3 linked regions of the Drosophila melanogaster genome follow. The protein of the gene in region 1 interacts with the protein of each later gene in a pairwise test. Each region holds a gene or a part of one and is shown on either strand. Other genes may lie near its edges.

The links. Proteins that work in one complex are often made in the same cells at the same time.
Region 2: the proteins of CG2258 (region 1) and Ythdf interact in a two-hybrid assay, tested with the Drosophila melanogaster proteins (one large-scale study listed by BioGRID).
Region 3: the proteins of CG2258 (region 1) and CG15022 interact in a two-hybrid assay, tested with the Drosophila melanogaster proteins (one large-scale study listed by BioGRID).

Annotation. Positions count from the first base shown.
Region 1 is NC_004354.4:8,095,449-8,103,277, forward strand, and holds the start of CG2258 (uncharacterized protein), read right to left. Parts: upstream 6,007-7,829; 5' UTR 5,621-6,006; intron 4,624-5,620; exon of another isoform or gene 4,261-4,623; intron 4,169-4,260; 5' UTR 4,077-4,168; coding exon 3,903-4,076; intron 3,843-3,902; coding exon 3,693-3,842; intron 3,621-3,692; coding exon 2,421-3,620; intron 2,363-2,420; coding exon 2,165-2,362; intron 2,095-2,164; coding exon 1,986-2,094; intron 1,924-1,985; coding exon 1,714-1,923; intron 1,626-1,713; coding exon 1,453-1,625; intron 1,387-1,452; coding exon 1,195-1,386; 3' UTR 1-1,194.
Region 2 is NT_033777.3:25,033,340-25,041,015, forward strand, and holds Ythdf (YTH N6-methyladenosine RNA binding protein), read right to left. Parts: upstream 5,745-7,676; 5' UTR 5,605-5,744; intron 5,541-5,604; 5' UTR 5,525-5,540; coding exon 5,507-5,524; intron 5,430-5,506; exon of another isoform or gene 5,336-5,429; coding exon 5,314-5,335; exon of another isoform or gene 5,215-5,313; coding exon of another isoform or gene 5,178-5,214; coding exon 5,082-5,177; intron 4,980-5,081; coding exon 4,872-4,979; intron 4,644-4,871; exon of another isoform or gene 4,579-4,643; coding exon of another isoform or gene 4,543-4,578; intron 4,485-4,542; coding exon of another isoform or gene 3,648-4,484; exon of another isoform or gene 3,605-3,647; intron 3,379-3,604; coding exon 3,284-3,378; intron 3,198-3,283; coding exon 3,054-3,197; intron 2,993-3,053; coding exon 2,328-2,992; intron 2,262-2,327; coding exon 1,349-2,261; intron 1,285-1,348; coding exon 1,243-1,284; 3' UTR 537-1,242; downstream 1-536. Other genes in the region: Smg6, read right to left, coding at 1-13; CG31115 (uncharacterized protein), read left to right, coding at 3,648-4,484, 4,543-4,578; bai (baiser), read left to right, coding at 6,111-6,290, 6,362-6,482, 6,547-6,617, 6,683-6,809, 6,873-6,994.
Region 3 is NT_037436.4:4,458,657-4,462,008, forward strand, and holds CG15022 (uncharacterized protein), read right to left. Parts: upstream 1,662-3,352; 5' UTR 1,592-1,661; coding exon 1,589-1,591; intron 1,527-1,588; coding exon 642-1,526; 3' UTR 537-641; downstream 1-536. Other genes in the region: CG15023 (uncharacterized protein), read right to left, coding at 2,090-2,596, 2,661-2,663.

The DNA of each region.
Region 1 (7,829 bases):
AATTTTGTGTTGTTATTTTTTCTTGATAAATAGTGAGAGATATATAGAGAAAATGTGGCTGGTTTGCTGGAGGTTAAAACCCTATAGTTCAGAAAGAAAAGGTATTAACAAGTATTACAAAAAAAAATAAAACTGGTACTGCAATAATTTGTTTTAATATAATTCGGAATTCTGTATACCTTCAAAATGCAAGTGCCACAGTGTGTTCGTGTCTTTTAGTGAGTGAGAAATGCAAATGGTTGTCCTAACTTTCAATGCTCTTGCATAGTTAATTATTTTCAATTTCCAGCCTCCTTAGCCTCCAATTAATAAGTATTTGAGCTTTAACAATTGTCAATGATTTCCTGTTCGGCTTAGTTCTCCATCTCATAGATTATATAAACAAATTTAACATTATATGCTCGTTACATTCGAATCGATTTGGATTTTGCTAGCTGCAAATACTGCGATCATACATCGTTAATATATCAATTGTTTACTTGTAGATTGCAATTAACGTTTCATTCGCATTCGCCATGAATGTATATTTTCATTATAGGTGTATAATTAGGCTATAAATATTATATTCCTCGAAAGATTTCATTCTTTCTTATGCTTCCATCTTCTTTTGTTTTGTCAAAATTTTGAATTCCAAACAAATGGGCAATTGGAACTATAAAAATTTAAAAGTGAGGCTAATCTCTGACTCTGCTTCTGGCTAAAATTGTCCCTGGCTAAATTCTAAATTAGTGAAATCATCCTAAACAGGGGATAATTTAGTGTTAGACTATATGGGCTATAGGCTATAGCTTCATTTCTTTCGCCTAGATCGCTAGATTGGGTTATCATCTCTATGAGGTTGCATCTACTCCACATGCAACTAGTACATTTGTCCTGCTTACAGACTATGTTCATAAGATATATGTAGAGTCGCGTGTGTGCTCCCTTTCGATCCGGCATGGATCGAAATGCATTCTTTTCAATATTTGACTTTTTTTTTTGACGAGGGCTATCCTAGACCGAAACGCTAAAACAAACGCATAACAAATGCACTGATCAAACTTGAAATTATTTGAGATTTTAAGGTTTGGCTCGCTTTCAACGGCTCGCCTCACTAGCAACGCTTTACAATTTTGGTTTCCCTCCGTGTTTTTTGTTCTTTTTTTTTTTGGTTTGGGCTTTTGTTGTTGTTTTGGTATACGTATCCAATAATCCTTAGGCCTTGAACAGCTGCGGAAATTCGTTCGCTATTTCCCGCACCAGCTGCTGATCGGAGGCACTGCACTCGGTCTCCTCGCAGAAGATGCGCGTGAAGATCTTCATGAGATCATGCTTGCGATGCTGGTGCTCCTGATAGTTCGTATTGCGCAGGATGCGTCGGCAAAGCTCCAAGTAGCATGGTCGCGTCTGAAACCAAATTAAAGTGTACTTAGTAGGGAGCACTATAGTTGCATTGACTTTTGGCGGACTCACCGTACTGCCGGCATCCAAATCGGATAGCTGGCGAACCACTATATCGATAAGCACCTTGATGTCATTCGTGTAGAACATGCCCGCCGTATCCGGATGGCTGAATATGTCGATAAACATTCGCAGCACCGTGTTCATATGCTCGTTGGGATGCTTGAGCAAGCGTGTGGGATCATCTGGTTAGAATTCAAGAAGAAATCGATCCAATTTACATGCTTATGTTTTGTAGTTAATTAAAAAGTATGCTTAAAATTGAAAACTTACCCTCTCGATTGAGCAAAAGTAGCAACTTCTCCGTAAACACTTTGGCGGATGGCAGATTCTGCATACCTTCGATGATGACATTATAGGTATGTTCGCTAAATTGCTGATTGAAGGCCAAGATCAAGGCAATGACCATGTCCACCAAGACCTCCGGATTATTGCCCTCGACGATTTCCAGTAGGAAGCTGGCAAAATGTACGCCCAAATAATCTATAATAGACATCAAAGTATAAGCATGCAACTATTGGTTAATAAGTTAAGATAGCTTTTACCCTGATGATTAACCGGCATGGGCTGTCCAAGTGAGAAGATAATAGTGAGCATCTTGACCAGCTGCTTGAAGCGATCCAGATTGGAGAAGTGCGTCTTCATGTCCTCGACCTGAAAGTTAAGTATGTTAAGTTCTAAACTTAGAAAACCATTAGGTGGCACAATCTGAGCTCCTGCTTACAATCTCCAATGGCAGCACCGAGGTCAGCAATATGTCCACAATGATATAGTCCAGATGGCAAGCGGCCGTAAAGGTCTTAAGCAGCAGTCGCTTGATGGACCAGCGCGTCTCCATCTGATAGTACTGCACCAGATTGATAAACATCTGGTACTGATCGCAGGACATCTCGTAGCAACTGATGCTCTCATCAGCATTGATCTGTAAGGAGTGATATAAGTTTAAGATTTAAAGTTACAAAAAAAAAACTAGTTCCTACCAAAATCTCAACAAGCTCCTCAAGGAACTGAATGATGTCCTCCTCATCCTCGTAGAGCATCCAAGTGCGTTGCTCCGTATCGTTCTTGCAGTCCGCCAGCTGGGCAAAGAGATACTGCAAGCGCTTGGCGTCGTGCGTAATGCCCAGCAGCTCCTTGGGCGTGGCCACTTTGCCAGTGACATGAACGGCCACCGCCTCCAGGTACGGATTGATGGCACCGTTGTACAGCTGCTCCAGGCTGGTCAGCACCACGCGCAATGCTTCACAGGAGAGATCGAAGCTGAGGTTGGTGTTCCGCCGCAGGGCGTCCACAATCTGATATACATCCGATGACTCAACCTTCAACTGGCCTCCTCCTGTGGCACCCTCCTCGATTCTGCCCAGGCTCAGGCCGCGCTGTCGATGCGACGGACTGTCGATGCTGTCCAGCGCCTGGCTATTATCCGCACTATCTCCGTTGGCCGGGCAACCGTCGTCACTTTGCACGGCGCTGGCATCATCCGACTTGTCCGGCGCACTGTCCGCTTCCTCCTGCTGCAGCTCCTGATGCAGGGCTGTGGCACTACCGTTGGCCTTGCCGTTGCCGCCGTTGCTGCGCAAAGCTGAGGCCGAGGCAGATGCGGAAATGGACGCCGAGGCAGTGCTCCCATTTTGCGGCTTATGCTGCTGGCTGGTGCTCATTTGGCTGGTCTCCTTGTATGTGGTGACCACATCTTCGCTGGTCGTCGTAGTGGTCGTTGTCGTCTCCGAGGGCTCCGACGTAATGCTATTGTCCTGCGCGACATCACCGCCGGTGGCCGCTTTGCTCGTTGATGCCGCAGTGGGTGTGGCCGATGCTGCCGATGGCGAGGGAGCTGGTGCTGGCGGTGCTGGGAGCGGCTGTTGCTGCTGCGGCGTCTGGATGGTGCAGCTGCTGCCCTGGAACTGCATGCTGCCCATGCTGGGCGATTCGATCATGCCCTGATTCTGGGGCAGGCCGCACGATGAGCCCACCGCTGGACTTGACATGCTCTTCTTGCTCATGTCCAAACGCTGGGAGCCAACGCTGCCGCCGCTGGGCGGCGGACTGTGCTGCCTGTGCTGGGAATGAAGCTGCGTCTGGGATTGGGTGGGATGGGGATGCGAGTGCCGGTGGCTACCCTTGTCACTGTAGCTGTGTGAATAGGAAAGCGAGGAGTCACCGTCGCGCTCGGAACTCTCCTGCAAGATAGGAGGGGAGATAGGTCATCAATAACATTCATTTGGCCATACGAGTAGTTAGAATCTACCCACCGCATACAGACGCTCCATGGTGTGCTTCTTCTCGCGCAGCCTGTCCAGCAGTTCGTCCTTGGACATGATGCCATTGATCTCATGGTCCGTGCACTTCTCCAGCGATTCTATCGAGGAGTTCAGAAAGCTGATGAGAAAGTCGTGCTCCACCTGTCAAAATTTGCATATGTTTAGTAATCCTTTTAGCCACTAGTGAGCGATGTACTCCACCTTAATCTTCATTACGTAATTGGAGGGCACAAAGCCAATGTTGCCTTTCATGCTGACAACCTGCCACCAATTGCGCTGGCGGGCGGACGTCTGGTAAAGGATGAAGTACTCGCCCTCATCGAAGCTGATGGTCTTCGGATAGACCGCCTGGAAGTCGTACAGAGCCTTGAGCATCTCGATGCCGATGCCTAAACCGATGTCGTTGCCACCTCCTCCACTGGGAACACTTGCTCCTCCACCAGGGCCACCTCCTGCCGCTGCCTCTGCTAAAATAAAAAGAATTAAATCGAAACGGATTGATTTTAAGTGATTTTCAAAGCTGGAAAATTTGAAAAACTTTAAGGGCGTCGACACTCACACAAGCACACGGGGAAAAACTGCAGCAGGCGCTAAAAAAAAAAGTTAAGTTCACTGCCGAGGGCCAAACTGCGGACTGACGGCACTGGCTACACTCTTATTGATGCTCCAAAATGTTTTTTCGTGCCACTAAACTGGACTGCAGCGAACTGCTGAGTTCCGCAGGATTCGCACGGAGCCGTCAAAGAGGATACTCCTCGTGCTGGTGGAATTTTTAATGGAGCACCCCCACACAGGAAGAGGAAAATGCAATTTTCATATTTCACTTGCGCTCGCTCACTCGCTCGCTCTTCCTGCCTTTCCCGTTTCTGCTTTGTGCGCTGCTTTTAGGTCCTGCAACAACGCCTTGCGCTTTTGATCCTTTTCAGCTTACATTGTTTTCCCCACAAACACAAACACGCCAGAGAGAGCCACGTGGCTTCTGCGCTCTCTACGCTCCACGCTACACTGAAAAAAGCACAAAGTGCATTCAATTTATACACTATTTTGAACAGTTTAGAGAGAAAGGTACGTGTTCAAGTCCAACTTCTGTCCTAAGAACTTTTACATATATTTAAAAACAAATTTAGATTTTTTTTAAATTTAAATTTTCTTTGGGTGCCTATTTTATTGCTTTGTGTGAAAATCTCAACACGAGCAAATCCGTTTCAAAACACAGCGCCCCCTCCACTGCCCCGCCCACTCGTGCTTTCTCTCTCCACGCGCGCGCATTTCCCTCTCTCTCTCTCTCTCTATCTTTCTCTCACACTTTTTTCTCGCAGGATATCCGTGCAAGAGTGAACCGGTTCATAAATAAGCCAGTGAATAGCGGTACAAATAACAGTAATATTTGTGGCCCACATTTGTGGTTTTAATATAATGCATGCATTAAATCTTCACAAATATCTTTATGTATATTAATTTTTAATAAAGCTACAATACTAATGGACGTTTTCAAAGTTAGGCTTTTCGCACTTTTTCAAATATTTTGCGGTTAATAAAACCTAAAATGAACTAGATCATTTGCTTTAAGTACTTCAAAATCAACTACTTTTCAAAATTTACTATAAACAAGTGTTGTGTAGTTACAAATTACAAAGGATAGTAATAGATGTACAGGACTGTTCTAAAGAAAACCTTGTATTTCCTATAGGACTGCCCCAAAAGAAATCTTATTGGACATCCAATAGGACCGAAGGCCCCTCTGTCGCCGATGATTCACCTGGTGAATGCTCTCGAATGCAAAGTGATTTTCGGAACTGCAGGGCTGCTGTACTCACTCACGCACACAAGGACACGCGGTGAATGGGTGTAATGTATGGAAATGCGACAATGGGCACAACACAAAAAGGATGCAATGAGAATGTGCCCCGCTCACTTACCCATGTTGTTGGGCGCACCTTTTACCGTAATTGCGTTTGTCGGTTGCTGTTGTTGTAGTCGCTATTGCTGCTGTTGTCTTCTTCCTGTTGTTTCCTGTCTCAGACGTCAGCTATCCTTCGTCCTGCGCCCTCCCGCACATCCGCTGTTGGCGTCCAGGAGCCAAGGACGTTTGCATATGTGTGTGTGTGTGTGTGGATGTGTGTGCTTTATGTTGCCTTCCGACGATGGGCGTGTTTGCTGCTCCTCTCTTTTGTGCTTTCGATGTCCTTTTGAAGGCGACACAGCTAGTTCCGCTGCTCCATCACTTGTTGTTGTTCCCTTTGGCCGCAGCACGCGAATGAGAAGCTCACTTGATTAATTCCAATGATGCGAGATGCGAAATGCAATGGGCGATGCGAGAAGGGTGATGCTGCTCCTCTCCTGGCAAAATGCGATGCACTTGTTTTATGTCTCTTTTGCTCTCCTGTCTATTTGTCTGTCGCCGGGGAGGGGCGATGGTCGGAAAGGGAATTCTTGTGGGGGGCGGTGATCACTCGATAAGGCGAAACTTTAGCAACAAGAAGTGTTGCAATTGTATTAACATTTTCTTGAATGTTAACAGTTTAAAAACCGCACTCACTCTTTGGCAATTGTTTAGTTTTCAAAATTTATTTAAATAAATACTTGTTATGCGCTTTAAAGAGAGAGCACTGTATCTAAAAAGTATGAGCGACAAATTGTTGTTGCACAGATATACATATGTGTTTACAACAACAACAATAACAAACTATTCCACACCCAAAAAAAAGCCGCAAGCTAACACACACGCGCACAAGGGTTAACGGCGTTTAGAGTTTGTTTATATATTGTTTTAAACAAGCCACGAATAACACTAACCAAAATTTGAGCACATCCAAGTGGCGTTAACTAAGTTTTCACCATTTTACCAAACAAAGACAGCGGGATCAACAAACAAAAATTATCCAATCACTTGTTTTTATTTCCTATTTGCTCTTCTCCTTTTAATGTAGAGGTGGGGCATGCCGGCCTGTTATCGTTATCGATATCAGATATATGTGGGCTGCCAACTTGGCGCTAGAATTTAAATGTTGAAAAAAAGCTCGATCTCTTTCGGTTTTCAGGAAAACGTTTCTTTATTTGCATATAATATTTAACTCGTTTGTGGGGGACAGTACGTGTAGTGATTTATATAAAAATACTGATTTTAAGGGCAAGCTAATTCTTGGGATGCGTTATAAAAATGTTTATTTAAATGCTAGCAAGTTTTTTTTTCTGGTTAAACGTTTTGCCTGTGGCACACATATGTAGTATATATATTGTTTTTATTTTTTCATTTTGATTAGTTATAACCGCAATTTGCTATTTTAGACTACAATTCACAGGGGAAACCCCTTTGTAATAACGTTCACTAGGCGTAAATAGTTTATAAGTACAGTTTTTGTTTGATTCAGAAGGCATCATATAAAAAGTTCCTAAGTCCTGGACGACCCAATTCGATTAAGTTTAAAGATTCAACAATATTTTCCGTTTATTTGCTTGCTTGTGGTCACAATAAATCATAATCGTATCATAATGGGGAAACAATCACATACACAATAAATTATAATAGCACAGTGTTGTTTTTTTCGTTATATGTGTACTTATCATATCTAGTTTAATAACAGCAGGCCACTTTTAAACAAATGTGTATTTGCGTGTGTATGTGTGTGTGTGTGTGTAAATATATCTATTAAAAAAAATAAACAACTTTTCATTGTACTTGCATTTATAAGAATAGGAATAGTATAATAAATATATATGATATAAACGAAAACAAACAGAAATACACTTTTAACCTTGCCTCGTTTTGAACTATATGTATTCATATTTTTGTAGGTCTCGTGGAACGGCACTTAGTTGAGATTTATGTTGCCGTTGTAGTTCTTGACGCTGGTATATAGTTGGTTTAGCATTTAGCTCTCTATATAACTATGGCAAATCGGCTGCGATCGACGGTTCGAGGAACTCGAAGTTCCATCGAAACGATGACGAGAGCATGGTGACTTCCTGGAGGATATCGTGGCTGGCGGAGGATCCTACGGCACGTGGATCCTCATGTGCCCCATAACCATTCCTTAATCCATCCTCTCCTTCTCCGTCGCCTCCTCCTTCCTGGTCTGCTTGACTTTCATTTCCAAAAGGTCACGCACGGCCGCAAAACATTTGTCC
Region 2 (7,676 bases), on another chromosome or scaffold:
CCTTTCGACTCATATTTTAAACGATGCTTTTGCTGTTGCATTTATTCCTTTCTTGGAAGTTTGTCAAATGTGTAGAGTGTAAATTACGCCTCGAAAAATCTTTAGATCAGCAGTGTGACCGGTGGCCAAGGCGGATGAGTGTGACCAGACCGCTAACAATGCTGTTTGGACTGCTGACATACGCATTTTTTAGGCGCCAGATTTGAATGCCAAATGATTTTCAACGTTTGCTTTAGAATTGATTTCTTTTGACCGGAATGCTTGATTTTTGAAAATATATAGAGATAAACTATCTGCACTTCTATTTTAGCGACAAAATAACCAATTTGCCAGTATGAAATGGAATTCTAAAGGTACATTTAAGCATGGAGAATTCTTAATTTTCATTTTGACCTCAGAACATTACTTACCCATTTCATTCGCCACAGATCACAAAACCAAGATCCATTGTTTCTGCCTCTCATTTAGCCTTCTATTTAAATTTAATTTCAAACTAAAAAAAATAGCTCATCGAATCAGAAAAGTCGTTGCAGTTTGAGTATGAGTTCGCTTTATGTTTGCATGTTTTGTTGGGTTTAATTTTGTTACGTACATGACTTCGTTTATTATACTGTTTCAGTCTTCCACTAACGTATAATTATTGGATAGCGCTGTGAAAGTAATAATATGCGGCCCATATTGCTTTACGTGTAAGTATTATTTAGAAAATACTATTTTAAGCTGGTTGGAAAGGTAAGTTTTTGATCAATCTCTTACAAATAGCGCATTTATGTGTCGAGAGATGTTGGTAGATTAGTCAATGAGTAATTGATGGATTGGTTACTTTAATTATATTATACATACATAAGTCGTGTACACTTTAGATTCAAATAAGTTGTATAAATTGTTACAGTGCAACTACAAGGAATGGCTGAAGCAGACTCCTTGGTGTTTATAAATGTTGTATATATATCGGCAAAATCGATCATTAATTTTTTTATGAACTGTTCAATGTGAGCGTCAATAGATTTATATAAATATTGTAATAAATAATTACGTAAAAATGTTATCATACTTTAATCGTTAATCCTAGATCCCACATGTTCGTTATATATGCTCGCCATGAATCGGGATTTTATCTTGTACACGCAATGGTTAAAAAATCTAAAAATTATAATTTAACGTCTCTAAGCAATTCAACGGATTGTGGGAGTCCATTCAATATCATTTAAAAAAGAATTCTACCGCAGCAGCTCAGTAAATTTATGAATATTCATTGCTTCGCATTTTATCCTTGTCCGTGTCCTGCAATCAAATTCGATTCCAATAATTAGTTAATTGTTAAATCTTTAGATGCAAATGAACCCACCTTAAAGCGCACGCCGATTTTAATTTGTTCAGTACTAAAGTCACGATCTCGGGTTTTTAACCTGGCCTTGTTCGTATTATTGTGTTTGTATTCATTTTTTCGGTTATTGGACCCGTAGTGGGACCCAAAGTCATTTTCTCTGTCAAAGTCCGGGCCATCGCGGTCCTTGAACTGATAGTCGCTGCTTGATTTATGAATGTCGAAGCCTCGACGATACTCGCTGTAATTGTTGTGTGATCCGCCACTGCCGGCGCCACCCCTATGACCTGGATTACGGAAACCAGCTCCTCCTCCAGAATTGAAGTGCTTTTGTGACATGCCGCCGCGTCCGTCGCGATCCCTGTCCTTGTCGTCCGCCTGGCGATTGAAGCTGCGGGCGAGTGGGGCAGGCGCGTGGTTGTTGCCATCGGGCCCATGCATTGGCGGACGCTTCGAGGACACCTCTTCCTCCTGCTTCTTTTCATAGTGGAAGAAGTCATCGAATATGGACGTTGAATGGTTGTACGAGTGCAAAATCTGCAGCACCTCGATGCCTTTGTCGTTGGGCACTTCCTGGGTGTCCCTTGAGTTCGTCACCGACTTATTCTCATTGTTCTCCAGTCGAATGTGACGCAGCGTTCCGTTAGGCACATCTTTGACATATATCCATTTCACCTTGAACTTGCCCCTCCACTTGTCCTGCGACCAGACGCTCGACGTTGAGTTGTAGTCGACCGGCGTCATCATTTGTGCCATGCCGCAGAAATGGCCAGATCCATTCACCGAGAAGAACAGCATTATGTTGCCGCCCTCTTCGTGTCGCTCCTTGAAGGCATCGTCCAATCTCTTATTGCCGTGATCGGTTGAGCACCAAATCTCATACTTTATACTGCGATGGATGTCATCTTCGGAGTACGATTTGATGACAAAGAATCTGAGAGGATAAAAGTAAGCATCAGTATACGAATACCGCCATTAAAATCAAATATAGCAAATTTACCTGGCCGATCCGGCTTTTTTCAAGTCCAACACTTTTGGGTTGTAATTGTTTTTGTCTTTTAATTCGTCCAACACGAGTTGGGAATCGACAGGCAGCTCTTCGGTTGCAGATGTGGCTTCCACCGGTCGTGATTGGTTCTCGTCGCGGTATTCGAACTTCGAAGCACTCTCAAACTCGCTGCCGCGGAAACTGGAATAGTTGCCCGAGCGCTCCGAGTTCCGGCTTGGATGCGGCCCGCCGTCGTGTCGTCTGGCGTTCGGTGGCCCAAATGGACCGGCATTGGTCGCTGGACGTGGGGCGGCATGGTGGACAGGCTGCTGGGGCCCTAGATTCCTGCGAACAGGTCCCGTGGGCGAAACCTTGGCTCTGCTGAAGTTATTGTTATTTCCCAAGCCCTTGTGCTCGTATTTCAGGAAGTTCTCCGTATCCTTGTGCACTTTCTCGGCTCGTGCGCCCAATGGCGGTGCCGTGTTGCTCGATATGGAGAAGTCAGAACTCAAGTCGGAATAGCCCAAATCGATCGGCGAGGGTGGAGATGGTACAGGAGGTGGTTTGTTATTCGGCAAATCCCATACGTTAACATCTAAATTGTGCTTTCCCGGAACCATGGGTGGTGGTGGCATGCCAGGACCCTTCTTCTTGCTGTTGGAAGTGGTGGACGCTGCCTGTGAACGTAGACAGGATATAAGTGGGTTTGCCCGCTGGCCCAATGAGTCAGATACTCACTCTCGATGTTAGTTTGGCTGGCTGGGAGGCAATCGAGGCCCAGGTTGTCTTCTTGGGAGCGGCGACAACTTCTTGATTTTGTGCTTCATCGCTTGTTCTGTTGTCCAGTTTTGTAGACGGCTGATCGTTTTCATTTCGAAACGACTTAGGGGTTTTACGGAAATAAACATTAGTTTAGGGATAAATTCTTTCCGAATATGGTTTCAATATAGATAAATAATAATATGTACCTGTGCTGCTGGCTTCCTGGAATTCCAAGGATTTACTTGGTGCTCGTCGCGTCGTGTGTTATTGGGAATACTATGACCATGTCTTCTATATGAATCTACAAATATCGTGAAAGACTACATGTTAGAACAATTTTCAAGAAAGTTTGATTGCTTAGACAAATATTACATTAATTATTTACATACGCCACACCTTCACGCTTTAAAGTTCATGATTTCTTAAAAGATCCAAAGAAACTTGCATTATCTGTGGGTGAAAATGCATTTAAACAAATTTAAGGAGGCACAGCAACTTGAATAACATTTCGTTTTTGTTTTACTTTCTGGCAAACAGATTTTACGAAAATTATCCAAATTTACTTTTGCAATGGAGGCGGATTTAGAAGTGCAGAGCGAACTTGAGAAGGACACCATCCCCATCAAAATTGGCATAATTGGAGAGGCCAATTTGGACAAGCCCATCTACTTGGCAGAGCGCATGGAGTATGCAGTATGCACGCCGTTTGGAAAACCATCCGATGTGATCATCGATGGCCAGATAGAAGGCGTCAATGTGTGCCTGCTATCACGAAATGGACGCAACCACGACATCATGCCCAGCAACATTAACTATAGGGCGAATGTGTGGGCCATGCGCAAGATGGGCTGCACCCACATCCTGGTGACCAACACGTTCAGTTCGCTGAGGGACACCTTCCAGCCGGGACACTTGGTGGTGCCAAATGATGTGATAGATTATACATCCAGACGTGCTCAGACCTTTTACGACGGTGCCGTGGGTAGTCCATTGGGCGTCTGTCACGTGCCCATGAATCCGACCTTTTGCGAACGCACCAGGCAGCACCTTCTGAGTGCCGCCGAAGAGCTGGGATTCCCCACGGGATCCAGCGGCACGGTGCTCACACTGGAAGGACCGCGTTACTCCACCGTTGCCGAAAACAATATGTTCCGCAAGTGGGGCGCCGATCTGCTGAGCATGACCCTGTGTCCCGAGGCCATTTTGGCCAAGGAGGCGGGCATTCCGTACGCCTCGCTGGGTCTGGTCACCAACATGGAGTGCTGGTGCGCCAAGCAGCCGAACGCAACCACTCACGAAATCATCTACATCTTTAAGAAGCAATCCGAAAACCTCCAGAAGGTCCTGATAACGGCTATTCGGAATATGGCTGCCGAGGATTGGGCCGAGGATATTCTAAAGGCAAAGGTAATGTTGATTGCAATGTAACTTACATAAAATTGATTCTAAAATCAATTTTTCTTAGATTCTGGTGTGCAGCAACTTTGCTAATAGTAAATGATGGTCGGTCTTGTGAAAGGTATTGTTTTAAAATTATGCAAATAAATAATATTAGCGTCCGTTTTGAATTGTTCTATGCGTTGGCGCAAAGCTACTTATCTTGATCTCTAAGCGATCATAAGCTGCAATGAGCCAAGTGAATCCAATCGGAAGCTAATCGGACTAATCCCGACTTCCCGGTGCACCGACTTATGCATATTCGCAGAGTCGAAAAACCAGTTAGTGAGAACGATTACGCGCCGAGTGCAAGTCAAGTGCTGGGTGGAAAAAAAAAACAAAAACTGCTATACATACCATGGTTGGCGTTCGCCTTTCGGCCCTTGTTCATATTGTTCCATGGAGTGTTGCAATTCTCCTTGAAGTTGAACGGCGGATATTGGAATTGCATGGAGTTGTCATTGCCTGGGTGGGTGTAGGCGGTAGGTGCGGGGTGGAGGGTTAGGAATAGACATGGGTTAGATGGCTTTTGGAAACCCATATATTTCTTATAGTCGAAGAACTCACCAGAGACTTCATCGTGAGTGGGAGAGGATAGATTTTCGTACGAGGCCTCATCGACTTGCTGACTCCATGGTATGTTGCGCTCCTCGACCGATTTAGCTGCATTGTGGGGCATGGTAAACAGAGAAAATCGCATTAAAACCGCACATTAAGCAAGAAATACGATCGAAAACTCGGCCGTCGAGTAGTTCCTGTCTATGGGAAAACGCTCTGTCTGTGGTGGTAGGTTATATACCTGTGTTTCCTGGTATTTTCATCTGAAACGGAAACGCAACGCAGGTTAATACACTTATCGTATCGTATTGGCTTGTCAGCCACTGTATATCCGAACATTAATCGCTGCTTAACAATGGAAAATCTTCCTGCGAAATCCCGACATAAATCGAATCGAGCATATGTACATATGTGTGTATGCAAAATACAATTACCTGATCCACGCCTGACATTTGCTGCACTTTTTGCCTGCAAATAGGAAATGGCTTAGTATGGCGGCGCCGATTCGGTTGACTGGCCGTAGCTATATTACCCCTTTTTAAAATAAATGATATAAAAACACAAGGCAGGCAGAGTTTGTTGCTTAAAAGTTTTTATAAACTCCGATATATTTTTTTTACTTAAAGAACCACATACACTGACACCACACGCACATTAACCAATACACTGACGGGATTCTTAACGCTTCCGAAGCCGTCACTTTTCACGCGAACGGCGTTGCGCAGACAAAGCGATATTATCAACACTAATTTAACGGCTGTGTGATTAAAATGCAAGCTAGTGTCATATTAAGCATTGAGGTGATTGGAATTTGAATTAAGATTGTATTTTACTAAAATAAATAAGAGTTTAAATTTTTGAGAGACATAGTTAAGTTGCGGTTATATTTAGTATTTAGTACCGATTGCGCCAAACCAGTGCTGCCAAAATTCTAGACACATCGATATCATCGCCAAAACATCGGTCTTGTGCCAGCTCTATAAAATAGCCACCTCATCTTTGTCAGCCGTAGATTTTGTTAGATTTAAATTGTTAGCTATGGCGAGGGCGGCTTTTATTGTGTGCCTACTGATGGCCTGTGCCTGGAGCAGCCATGCGGTGATGTTCAAGCTGTCGCCGAACACCCAGAAGTGCCTCAAGGAAGACATCCAGGCGAACCAACTGGTTATGGGCGAGTTCGAAGTTTCCGACGTACCCGGCCAGATCATCGACTACATTGTGAGTTTTCCGCTCGGTACACGTACTTAACTTACTCCACGCACTTAACGAACTCAATTTGCGTCCAACAGGCACGCGACACCAAGGGACACATCCTGTCGCAGAAGGAGCACATCACTAAGGGCAAGTTCAGCTTCATGTCCGAGGTGTACGATACGTACGAAATCTGCTTTATATCCAAAGTTCCTGCACGTAAGTTATAGTTTGCAATAAACTCCCATAGCGTATATATATAAACGTTTCGATTTCTGTGCAGATCAACGCGGCGTTATACAGGAAGTATCGCTCTTGACCAAAAAGGGAGTGGAGACCAAGAGCTACGAAGGCGTAAGTACACTTATGTCCTTTTTGCATGTTTTACACTTGACTTGCAATCCTTTAATCATATGCAGATTGGCGAAGCATCCAAACTGAAGCCCCTTGAAGTTGATCTTAAGCGTTTGGAGGATCTCTCCGACTCCATTGTGCGTGATTTCGTTCTCATGCGCAAGCGGGAGGAGGAAATGCGCGATACCAATGGTATGTGAAATACCAAAAATTCCCTAGAATCACGTCTAATTATTGTTCGCATTCTGCCTACAGAGAAAACCAACAGCCGCGTGCTGTTCTTCAGCATCTTCAGCATGTGCTGCCTGCTCGGCTTGGCGACGTGGCAAGTTCTGTACCTCCGCAGGTACTTCAAAGCCAAAAAACTCATCGAATAGTCGTCTAGCCGTAGTCTTAATGCGTGCGTGGAACTGTGTTTAAATGCCTGGTTTAGATTTCATCCTTTCATCTTTTGAACGTTTTTCTGAAATAAATGCAACTACCACGTATGTATATTTTATTACTGCGACTGCTCTCCACATTTCTTGGCGGTGTGACAAATAAATAGCTCGTATTGGACGCGTTTAACATAACAGGTACATAACACAAAACCACACGGTACAAGTTATTGGCTCAGCTGGCATAAGTTAAAAATTGCGATTCCCTTAGACGGTTGTTTCCTTCAGCAACATTGCACTCTCTGTATCCAGTCCGTCGCTTTTGGCGGCCAAAGCGCCTGCCTCGTCGGTGTCTTCCTTGCACGGACTTGTGGTTCCCTTCTTCATCAAGATATAGCGCGACTTGGCCGCGGAGCTGTTCGATGCACTCGAATCGTCCACCACGGACTGCTCCATCCACAGGCTTTCGTCGTTCAGCGCCTGGTTCACCAGGTTCGCCAAGCTCTCCGGTAGCTTCGATATAGCTGTGGGATCCGCAGGACCTAGAAAAGCATAAATATAAGATTATAGGACTTGAAGAGATCTCATAAACGATGCTGCGAGCTGGACTCTTGATCCACAAACATTTTTTTTCGGTCCGCTGGCAACTTTGATTAGTGATAGAAAACTGAAAAAGAATCGC
Region 3 (3,352 bases), on another chromosome or scaffold:
CAGGTTTTAATTAAAATGCTTAAAGACAAAATGAAAGACAAATCAAGTGTGCTATTAAAGTAACCTAATGTTTAAACATTTAAACTTTAACCCTTTTCAAAAGAGCATACTCAATTCGTTAGGGGCTTAATTATTTATTTCTGTCTAATCTTTTCATGGCACCTTTAAAAGACTTGCCCCATCTCTGGGCAACATTGAAAGAGGTCAACTGTCGTCCCATTGCCGATGGCTGCAATTGGCGATTAGCGATTTTGGTTCGGTTTGAACCTTTCTGTAACCGACACCGATCAATCCCTATAAATATATTCAAACCAAAACTCACATCATTTTTCATCCAAAAAGACAGTAATTATCGACACTGCAGGTGATGATCGAGCTGAACTAAAGCTAAAACCGAAGCCGTTTGGCTATTTCGGTTGATTGGCCGCAATTAGATTTGGAGGTCAGATTGAAATCCACATGGATCCCTTGGGGGCTGGGTGACAGCAATTTGGGTTTGATATCTTTGACCTTGAGGATGGGGAAAGAGTGCGAGTGGTGTAATACTCCATTTTATTTTTTGTTAAAAATGCTTTTAATGTGTACAGCTTAAAACTAGATGCAGTGCTTGTGGTTTGGTTTTTTTTCGGTGGTTGATTATCCTAATGCCTGAAACGGCGAAGTGGAGGCTTGTAGTGGTAACCAGGCTCGGCGTCGTGGATTGGACTTGGTGCAGGGCCCAAGGGCAGTGCATAGGATGGAATCGGTATGTGGAAATCTACCTCAGGCTGGGGTGGCAGATATTTTTGTTCGGGCTTAGGAGGCAGATACTTCTCGACGGGCTCGGAAGGTGGCAGGTACTTAGTCTCCGGCTCGGCAGGAGGAAGATACAGCTTCTTGGGAGCCACTGGTGGGGGTGGAGGTGGTGGTGGCAGACTGGGTGCAACCTTGGGTGGCAGATACCTTGCCACTGGAGCAGGTGGCAGATACTTCACCTCGGGCGTCGGAGGAGGAAGGTACTTGGACTCTGGCGGACTGGGAGGCAGATATGTGGGCTTGGGCGCCACAACTGGAGGTGGTGGTGGAGGAGGCAGGCTGGGAGCGACCTTGGGTGGCAGATACTTGGCCACCGGTTCGGGGGGCAGGTACTTCACTTCAGGCTTTGAGGGAGGCAGATAAGTTGCCTTGGGCGGTGGAGGTGGTGGCGGTGGCAGGGAAACCTTGGGCGGCAGGTACTTCTGGCGAGGTTTCTCTGGAGGTCCATAGCTATATCCGCTAGGGATATCGAACTTGGCCTCTTGATGATGATGATGGTGGTGATCCGGCTGATAGTGCAGATCAATGTGCAGATCATGATGATCGTGTGACGAGGGAGAATGGTGGTGGGAATGGACATCATAGTGGTGGTGATCATGATCGTGATCGTGATCATGGTGGTGATGGTGATCATGGCCGTGATCGTGGTAACCTCCTCCGTACAGGTGGGACACGTCTGCCCGAATACAGATGGCAAAGCCTGCCAGAGCCAAAAGGATCAGCATGGGTTTCTGTAAAATAACCAACCTCCTGTTAGGTCATCTTTATTAGAGAATATGCCGCTACTGTTTACCATTTCCTTTAAGAGATAATCCACCGATCGAGATGATGTTGCTGCCGTTTGATGACAGCAGGTAGTAATGTCAATAACGTCGATGGTCACCGCTTTTATACAAAGATCGCGCCTTCCTCGACCGGCTGGCTATTTGGTTTTCTTCACACTTTTCTTGGTTTTCATGAACTTGAGGTCGGCCAATTATCGGCGTGTGTTATCTCCCTCTACCCCAAAACAATTAATGCGATTTCGACCAAATTAGCTCTGCACAACAAAGCAGCTCATGAATATGCAGCGGATGCGACGAAATCCCAGACAATTGACGGTGATTGACTCGGCCATCTGTACCACTTTTGTCCCATCCCAATAAATATTTGGGAGATACCGATGCTAATGGGGTTAACAAAACAGCGTTTATTGAGATGGCTTTAACCTTATATAAACCTAAGCCTAGTGGAACGATTTAAAACAAAACTAATCCGGGGAAATCTTCCATGTTCAGTTCGATCGCGATTTTGCTCAGAAGGTGAACTCTTGGGCGGGCACATCGTAGTGGTAACCCGGTTCCGGTTGTGGTGGTGGGGGTGGAAGGTACGTGGGCACTGGCGTGGGTGCAGGTGTCGTTGTGGTTGTAGTGGTGGTGGTGGTAGTGGTACGCGGTGGTGGAGGTGGGGGAGGAAGGTAAGTGGGAGCAGGAGTGGGAGCGGGAGTGGTTGTCGTGGTAGTGGTAGTAGGTGGAGGGGGAGGAAGGTAGGTAGGAGCGGGAGTAGGAGCCGGAGTGGTTGTGGTGGTAGTTGTGGTTGTGGGCGGAGGAGGAGGTAGGTAAGTGGGTACTGGTTTGGGTGGCAGATAAGTCGGTGGTGGCGGTGGTGGCTCCGTCGTCGAGGTAATCACAAATGGTATCTCCGGCTTGGGGTAGTCATAGCCATAGCCATGCTCATGATGCTCCTCCAGGAGTTCCAGCGGCAAATGCGAAACATCACCGGCTGCAAAAGCCAGCAGACAGGTAGCCAAAATGAATAGCTTCTGAAATAGGAAAGAAATCGTGAAGTTCAGATTGCTTCTCATATCTACAACTGACCACACTCACCATCTCCTTTATGATATGTCTAACACCTTGAGCTCTTAAACCACAAATGATTGAGCGTTTGCATCCACGTCGGTTTATTTATAGTCAAAATTCTAAAACAGATCGATACTGTCCATGGCGCTCTAGAGGCCAATTATTATCATTTAAATCGATATAACACCGCTAGCCCCACGGCATTCTTTGTATCGGTAAATGTATCTGTATCTGTAGCGCTCTCCGCAGCCATGTTTATATGAATGATTAGCGCCACAATAGTGCGCCGAAGTTGACAGAGGAGCAGCGTCAACATCGCCAACTTTGTTTCGGAACTATTATGCCTATATGGGGCCCTACTGAGCCGTTTTTCATCAACGTCGTCACTTGGGTTTTCATTGTTACGGTGTTAAAGGTATGACCAAACTTCCGACGGAACCTGGGGCACAAAAGCTTAGCACACAGAAAAACAGTCATAAATTCATAAAAATTCTGAGCAGATTTTGAATCAATTTGAAATAAGTAATCAGCGAGTACTTGCATTCTGATATGGGTTGCTACATATTTTAAATGTTAATTAATGAAATTCATTCATACATGAAAGGTACATGCACTTAATGTTATTTATTTTAAGCTAGTCAAGCTAAATTTTCTCTCAGTGCATCTGAAGAGGTAGTTCCGTCGCTGGAAGCGTTGTAAGCGTGCTCTGCTGGCTGTCA